2 linked regions of the Saccharomyces cerevisiae S288C genome follow. Changing the gene in region 1 together with any one later gene gives a genetic interaction. Each region holds a gene or a part of one and is shown on either strand. Other genes may lie near its edges. The genes, in order: ASG1 and YPR015C.

Evidence for each region.
Region 2: mutations in ASG1 (region 1) and YPR015C together harm fitness more than expected from each alone (negative genetic interaction), as found in Saccharomyces cerevisiae (one large-scale study listed by BioGRID).

What each region holds. Positions count from the first base shown.
Region 1 is NC_001141.2:100,744-106,437, reverse strand, and holds ASG1 (Asg1p), read right to left. Parts: upstream 3,657-5,694; coding exon 762-3,656; downstream 1-761. Other genes in the region: TAO3 (Tao3p), read left to right, coding at 1-331; forkhead family transcription factor FKH1, read left to right, coding at 4,203-5,657. UniProt on the Saccharomyces cerevisiae protein: Probable transcription factor involved in the stress response.
Region 2 is NC_001148.4:589,470-592,735, forward strand, and holds YPR015C (uncharacterized protein), read right to left. Parts: upstream 1,558-3,266; coding exon 814-1,557; downstream 1-813. Other genes in the region: TIF6 (translation initiation factor 6), read right to left, coding at 2,863-3,266.

The sequences.
Region 1 (5,694 bases):
CATTTCTGTTGCGGAAGAAAAGGATGCTTCGTTAAGTCACATGTGGGCAGAGCTAGATAATCTTGATAGTTTTTTCACAAAGGACACAAATGTGCCAAATATCTCCTCTAAAATGGGGATGGGAATTCCACATGGACGTTCTGATTCGATTGAAACCACTCGCACAGATCAAACTTTTTCCTTTGAGTCTGCTCCACAGTTGTATGACAAAAAGGTCTCAGTCATACTGAACAGGAGCTTATCTAGAACACCGTCCAATGTTTCATTTAAAACTCATTTGGCTGATTCATTTGCTGTGAAAATAAACAGGAATGGAAAGCCAAGAATATAAGTTAATTTTTTCGTTCAAATAAATATAAAGCAGGCCTTGGTTTATGATAAGGTACCAATGATGAAGATATTTCGCATATAGCTAATACTGTTCGAAAATTAGATAATCTTATAGAGAAACTATTATCATTGTTTACTATATTATTCATGTTTTCTTTTAATTATCGAGCTTTTGAAGGTGAGGTAGTTTAGGAAGTGAGGCTGATAAGTAAAAATTGGATTTTAGGGAAAACTAGATCCAGGATTGGTACTATTTTCTTTTGTTATTGCAGTTTATCACCATTATTATTATTATTATTATTATTATTATTATTATTATTATTATTATTATTATTATTATCATATATAAATACACACATAAACGTTTTAAGCTTATGTTCAGCAAGTGCTGTAGCCACGATATTATAGAATATAAATCAAAGATAACGTTTTCATTCAGAGGGGTAATTTAAAGGTAGGTATTTCCCAAATAGCTGAGCATCTAACTGATCGAATACTCCAAGAATATCGTTTGAGTCAGTCATATTTTGTTCGTTTTTAATTTCAATATTAGGTGACATCTCCTCTTTATCTTCTATGTTCAAATTGTCTTGTGAAAGCGGTATTTGTAACTGGGGAAACCCTTCATAAGACGGTGAATTGTTATCAATCTTAATGCCGAAGTCATTATTATTTTTATTATTGTTATTATTGTTATTATTATTACTACTATTACCACTATTGTTATTGTTATTATTATTATTATTATTATTATTATTGTTGTTGTTGTTGTCGTTGTTGTTGTTGTTGTGATTATTATTACTATTGTTAGTAATATTATTGTTATTATTGTTTTTGCCACTAACATTATTGTAGTTGTTGTTAATGGTATCTGGGTTGGAGTTATTTGATGCATTGCTCTTACTGCTGCTAAAATCGAATGCACTGTTAGTAGGGATGTCGCCGTCATTCCTGATAAAGACGTCATCTGTGGCATCAAGAATATTTGATTGGCCATTATTATCAAGTCTGATATCAATAGATAAGAAATTGTTCGGATCTCTTTCATTAGACATGTTAGTCGTTCCTTGGGATACTTGATCTTGCTGTTGTGCTTCATTTAAAGGATTTTCGGAAATAGGTGTATTATTTAGGTAATTAGCCATAGCGTAATCATTGGTGCTTTCTTCACTCTTAGCTAATGAAAAGCTATTCTTCGTATCCTGGGAAGAAAAGAATACGGGTGGTTGCAATGAATCTCCTAAATGAGGTTTCAAAGCGGAGGAATTATTAGTCACTAAAAAGGCACTTTCGTTGGATGGTGATGAATGTAACGCAGTAAGCTGGATAGTTTTTGAGTTTAGTTTTTCAAAAATTTGGTTCAATAAATTATAAGTCCTGCTAGCGGCCATACTAGAATCCTTGAGTTGAATAAGAACGCTTCTACCAGTTTCTGCGTCTTTCAAAATATCATAATATTCTCTAGCACTATCCTTATCAGGCAATTGCGCCTCATGGATGTAAAATAAGAGACCTGCAACGGAGTAAAAAATTGTATAACAGGCATACCAGTATGAACCAGTTAATAAATTATTACTAACCATCTCTTTTGCTAACTTAATAACCGTTCGAGCCACGGCAATAGAGTTCCGGGCTCTCCGGTAACATAAGGGATCTACATTTTCAGCATTCATGTTGCGTGATAAATAATGAATAAAAGGCCTGTATAATATTATCTGAACGTGCAAAAAAGACAAATGTAATAAACGATTTGCCCTTTCATATTCAGGATCAATATTTTCTGCGTTAGGTATCAGTTCTTTGGGCAACGAATCCAACCAATTTCTCAACTTTAATTCCAAGCTAGTAACTGTCTCATGAGAAATTATATTACTAGTTTTTTTTATCGGATATAGTTCAGAAATGATCTCATTTAAAATCAAAAATAGTTTTGTATGTTCATTCGAAATCCCCGTACTTGATAAAACGGAGTGTTGGTTCTCAGGTAGGTACGCCACCTCAGTGATATTCTCATCTGATAAATCCAGGGGGAGAGTTTGGTCAAAATCGTCGGGGGAAATAGATCTCGGTAGGCCCAGCATTGCATTGATATAAACGTCCAGTTTATAGATTGTATAAAAAAGGCGTTTCCTCATCTCAATTTCTATTGGACTAAAACCAGAATTGGGGCTCAATTTCCTATGAAAGCCTGCTCTCAAAGCACTTCTCATGGCGACACCGATATAAGTGTAACACGTTGATAAACGTGCGGAACATTGTAAGAATATAATCAGCATTAAAATTGCTTGTATGGAATTCAAGTCACGGGCATTTGTAATGTCGATTAGTTTCCTTGCTGCAATGAAGTACTTGTAACCTTCATCCTGTAGAAACTTTTCCCTTGACGAGTCATTTGAGACAATGGATTTCGAGAATAATGCTCCCACAGCGATTGCAGCGTAGCACAATGGTAAAAATTGCATTTGCTTAGACGTATAATTGTTTGGGTCTGTCTCATACAACTCATCCAATTGTCTAATGAACGATGGTCTGTGATAAAATCGGAGAAGAACACAGCAATGTTCCCAAGTACTTTTCACGAATTGTAAAGCGATCGCTTTTGGTGGTAGAATTATTTTTATTTCTCTACCAACGGGGATATTGGAGTAGGTATCTACACTGTCTTGTTCCCTGTTGCTGGAGGCGCTATTCGAGTCACTTTTCATGTTAGGTAAAAATTCGTCTGGAGTGGAGTTTTTTGAATTTGAAGAAAGTACTGGTTGGATCGGAGAAGAACTGTCATTTACGATTAAAGTATATTCTTTCACAGTGTCATCTAAAAACGACTGCGAGTCCCTCTTAAAATTGTGAAAGATCTGCAAGAACACAGGAATATCCAGATTGTCTATATCAGGTAACTGCGGGAAGACCTCATCAAATATTTGCTTGTACCTGTCAATCTTCGATTGTAACCTTGTGCTCTTAGTCTTATACTTTCTTGGTTTAGATGGATTGTTACTTGCAGGTATTGTAGAAGCACCCGGTAAAATAGCCCTTTCTGTTTTAATGTTTGAGAGGAGTTTATTTGGATTGGAAGCGGCGGCTGCCACCACAGTACTTGATGATGGACCAGTAGTAACATTGCCCAGTGTTAGAACTCCGGAGTTTCCGGAGTTCTGTGTTCTCTTCGTAGGCTTCTTATAAGTACATTCATAAGAGTACACAGTACAATGGATACATGGTTGCTGACCATCACATTTAACTTTTTTCTTTCTGCATTCATCACAGGCTCTAGTGACCCTTCTTCTCTTGACAGACTGTTCCCCTTGTTGCGCTTGTTCTGGCATAACGCCCTTATCAATTATAATATGCGCTCCTTTTTCTTTGTCTCTTACCTTATGGAACTCAAATAAAAAGAGGCTTTTTTTCTATATGTTAACCTCTTCGAGATTTTCTAACCGCTTTATAAAAAATTCGATTACTGGTTGTCTTCAATGCAAGGAACTACTCAACAATAGAAGGTCATGTCCAGGTAGACAAACCTCATTACTGTAGTCACTTTTGAAAAAAAAATTACCAAAAAAAAAAAAAAGAAAAAAAGAAATCACTAGGGCTTGAAGAGCGTAGGTCTTATAAAATGTTTTTTAAGGGCTTGAACGGAAATATAGCATATATGATAGGTCTAAAAAAGTTACGAAATAGGTTATGATCCATGGATGAGGTAAACAAAAAAATGGAAAAACATAAACAAATCAGAAACGGTATAGAGAGAACAGGATGGTAAGAGGTTTAGATGAATACCGGCTCTATAGAAGATTGAAGGTTTAAATAATAGTGTGTAAATTGTGCGTTCAATTAGCAAAGAAAGGCTTGGAGAGACACAGTAATAATAAATGTCTGTTACCAGTAGGGAACAAAAATTTAGTGGTAAGTATAGTTCGTATACAGCCCAGGATCGCCAAGGGCTTGTTAATGCGGTGACATGTGTTCTTAGCTCGTCAAGCGATCCTGTGGCTGTGTCAAGTGACTATTCCAATAGCTTGAGTATTGCCAGAGAGGTCAACGCTTATGCTAAAATTGCCGGATGTGATTGGACGTATTATGTACAAAAATTAGAAGTTACCATTGGTAGGAACACAGACAGCTTGAACTTGAATGCTGTGCCCGGTACAGTCGTGAAGAAGAATATAGACATTGATCTTGGTCCTGCCAAAATTGTGTCTAGGAAGCATGCTGCAATCAGATTCAACCTGGAGAGCGGATCATGGGAATTACAGATATTCGGTAGAAATGGTGCTAAGGTCAATTTTAGAAGGATTCCCACAGGTCCAGACTCTCCTCCTACGGTGCTACAGTCTGGTTGTATCATAGACATAGGTGGTGTGCAAATGATCTTTATATTGCCGGAACAAGAAACTATTATATCGGATTATTGCCTGAATCACCTCATGCCCAAATTACTATCTACTTATGGTACGAATGGTAACAACAACCCGTTGCTACGTAACATTATCGAAGGTTCTACCTATTTAAGAGAGCAAAGGTTACAGGAAGAGGCTCGATTACAACAGCTGGACCACCTACACACCCCATTATCGTCATCATCAGATGTTAACCCAATAGGGGATCCACATGGAGACACGATTATGATGGAAGAAGATGAAGAAGATGAAAATTACACCAGAGGAGGAATTAGACCGAATACATACACGTCCAGTAGCAACAATGCTGTCACTAACGGTAATGTACCCCATATAGAAAATCCATCAGACTTGTCGCTGGATGAAAACAGATATATCAAACCACCACAGTCGTATGCATCGATGATCACCCAAGCCATTCTTTCAACACCCGAAGGTAGTATTTCATTAGCGGATATTTACAAATTTATCTCTGACAACTACGCATTTTACAGGTTTTCTCAAATGGCGTGGCAGAACTCCGTGAGGCATAATCTGTCCCTAAATAAAGCCTTCGAGAAGGTGCCCAAAAGAGCTGGTCAACAAGGTAAAGGGATGAATTGGAAAATTAGCGATGAAGTCAGGCGTGATTTTTTGAACAAGTGGAATGCTGGTAAATTGAGTAAGATTAGACGAGGCGCCTCTGTGACAAGACAGCTGCAATTGCACATGTCCAAATTTGGAGAAATACCTGCTCCTGAATCTTCATCAATTGACCCGAGGGGGATAAAAGCACAGAAGGTGAAAAAGTCTTTACAAGCTACGAGCTCGATTTTAGGTGAAAGCGCCCCGCAATTACAAAGAACTCAACTCACTGGCCAAATTTCTACTACGACATCCATGGACGTAACAACAAACGCAAACGTGAACAATTCCTCTCTGAGTTGAAATTCAGCGTCGTCGAACCCATATGTATTATTAAACA
Region 2 (3,266 bases), on another chromosome or scaffold:
TTGTTATCCGATAGGAAATTTATCCCCTTCTATGTTCCACTAATCACTTCATGGGTTGACTATCACTAGCGCATGAACTCCTTTTGACCAATAATAAGCACAATACTAAAGGTTGTGGTAATTGATAAATAAAGACTTCCATTGAAATGACAGAAACGATATGTATGAATCAGAATATCAAGCATGGATATATCATTGCGCTCAAACTTAGTCAAATTCCTTTGTTTTCTTAGTTTGTTATGACTCCCTTGACGTAATTATTCTTGCATTAATTTTGAGCTTCTGTAAACTTCATTGTTCCAATGGATCATTATATATTAACAACGTTGGCATATACGTGACCGCAATTTGAACTACCTACATTTAACATACTTTTGTAGAGGAAAGAGGCTGTTTGTTCTTTAACCATGATTATACCAATTTAACCTTTTTTTTTTTTTTGATAGTGAACTGCATACTAGTCAGGTAATTGAATTCCTGGTACAGAGATTCATCAAGACATCCGTGTCGGCAACGTTGTACTAAATGAAAAGGTCCTTTGTCTTACGAACTAGACAGAATAAAATGTATCGTGCGGCAGTATAGAACCGTATTACAAATGCTGATGCATTCGCAAACAAATTTCTTGTAGAAATTATAATTCGAACAAAAATCCTCTCACTATTCAAAAATCGGAAGTCAGTAAAAATTGATTGTTGGCTACATGTAATATATTATATGGAACTAATACATATCTATACTCATTTTACTTGGTAAAAAGTGTCACACCTACATCAAAATCACACTGAAAACAAAATATTCTAAACAATGCTTTCACTGATGTTTTTTCTTTGCTATTTTCTTTTGATGGGTTCTTAAATGCCTTAACATGTTACTCTTGACATTGAAAGATTTGTTGCAATGCTCCCAAGTACATTTGAAAGGTGTGTCTCCCGTATGTATTAAGTAATGAGTCCTCAGTGTTGAAGGTCTCGAACAAACCTTCCCACAGATAGGACATTGTTTCCGTAGCTTTACCACAGCGCGCAGTTGCTTTTGTATAAGATCTAAGTCGGTTTGTGTTTGGGATAATAGCGTCCCAGGATTTTGCCCTATATGCACATTCGGGAGGGAGTACTGCTCGTTGCTCACCGCTCTGTGGTTTTCCTCCTGAAAATGCTGCATTGATGGAGGTACAGATTGGGCAGTATAAGAGGAAGCTGCCGTTGAATAAATAGGGCAACAAGATTGACGTTCAACGAACGTTAAAGGGAAAGGTTGCGGTGTTGCTATAACCGGCGAAAAGATAATAGAGTTGGGACTTGATCTCCATACGGGATCCTCTGTCTGATGCAGAGAAGAAGGTGCGTAATGGTAAGCGGGAGGTGGTAGTGCGGCCTGGTTTATTTCAGGAGTAAGTGGAGCGTGCATAATCGACGAACAAGGTGGAAGATGCACTTCCCTTTTGGTCGTGTTCGAGACTTCCTTTGAAGATTGCGCATAGGATCCCCCTATGTTAGACGATGAACATTTCATTGGGCTACAAAGCATAGATTCTAGCGTTTTTGTTCTCCACATTTAATTAGTGTTGAAGATGAAAATTTATGTATATTAAAAGTTAGAAACGGGTCAATGAAGACGTTTGCTTATCGTATTGGATCCTTGCAATGCCCTCCAAAAAGAAGAAAAAAGTTGGACCAAGAAAACAATTATAATTTTGTAATTTGAAATATCTACCAATGAGGTCAAAAGAGCGACAACAACTAGCGCTTATATAATATAAAGAATTCTTGGGACTGTATCTCATGGCAACCAAATGCCGTTCATATTTAGGGTTTCAGTGGGAAAAGATTTCCGGTGCTTTACGCTCCTTGTACAAACAAGTGCTGCGAAACTTTCTGTGGAAATCGTGCCTTTTAAACCATTAGTGAAGGCTCCAGATAGAGTTGTCACAGAAAACAGCGTGGCGGACTTATTTTTTTGCAACGATTTTCTGGAAACAATAGAGGAAGAATTTTTGGCGTACGAAAAGGAACGATGCCCCCAACACCTCAACAATACTACGGAAGTTTCTTCGAGCGGAAAAACATCGAAATACTAGCTGTTTCTGGATATGAGAGTGGGTATGCGTGGCAATGGAACTCAGGGAGTTGTTGCTATTTCAGTGAGTACGATGGATCAGGGTGTTTATATCTCAAGAACTACCAAGTTGAAGAGATGAAACGTAGTTCGCTTGATAGCACATAAATGGACGGCTGACTTGTTGTACACCATATATATATATATATATATATAATTTTACGGCTCACTTCTGTACCGCTTGTGAAAATCTTACCGCACAACCCCCGGTGTTCTATTAGCTTTGTTCGATTTTATTAATCTTTGCCAAGAGATACTACTCTCCGGGTTCTGGTGGAGACAATAGTATGTCCTAGCAGCTAGACAAAAAAGCCTTCAAATGGTCTACGTGCGGTGCAATTTTTCTTGGAGAAGTTCTATATTGTCTAACAGATACTTGGAACTGAGCAAGTTGTCAGAATAGTCGGAGAAGCGGACGGAAAATCCATATTATGCAAAGAATTTGCTTAGAAACCCGTTACATATGCTTCGAACAAAGTGACTACATGTTACAATTAAGACGCCTACTTAAACTGCAATGAATAGTCACCCATAGGTATAAGAAAAAAAAAAAAAATAAAAGAGTACATAATATACATACAACTAAAATTAAAATGCATAGAAACCTAAGAAAAAATATTTGTTATACCAAAAAAAATACCACAAATGATACGTAAGAAGATTATTGCAACATGGGGACTCTTTCGCATACAACTGTAAACAGACTTGAGGAAGGAGGGGAATCCCCTCAGGAGTACCTGACATCTATGAGTAGGTTTCAATCAAAGTATCACGTAGGTTACCTGAAATGGATTCTGGTTGGGCATCTTGCAAGCGGAAAATACTTTCAATAACACTCAATTCTGGGGCTGTAGTATCCAGACCTGTAACTGCCAAGTAATCGTTCACAACCATACCGGCACCGACAACTGAACTACCACGGTTAACGGTACCAGCCACCAAAGGAACTTGTAATAAGGAGGACAATTCTTCTTGATCTTGGACACTTGTTTGTGGATGCACTAACCCACCTTGATTACTTAAAGAACAATATGACCCAACTAAGATATTACCTGATATGGTTTGACGGAAGACCTCAACGCCTAGTACATCACTTATCAATTCTTCAGTTTCTCTGTCGATATCTGGATGCACTAAAGCAACGTAAT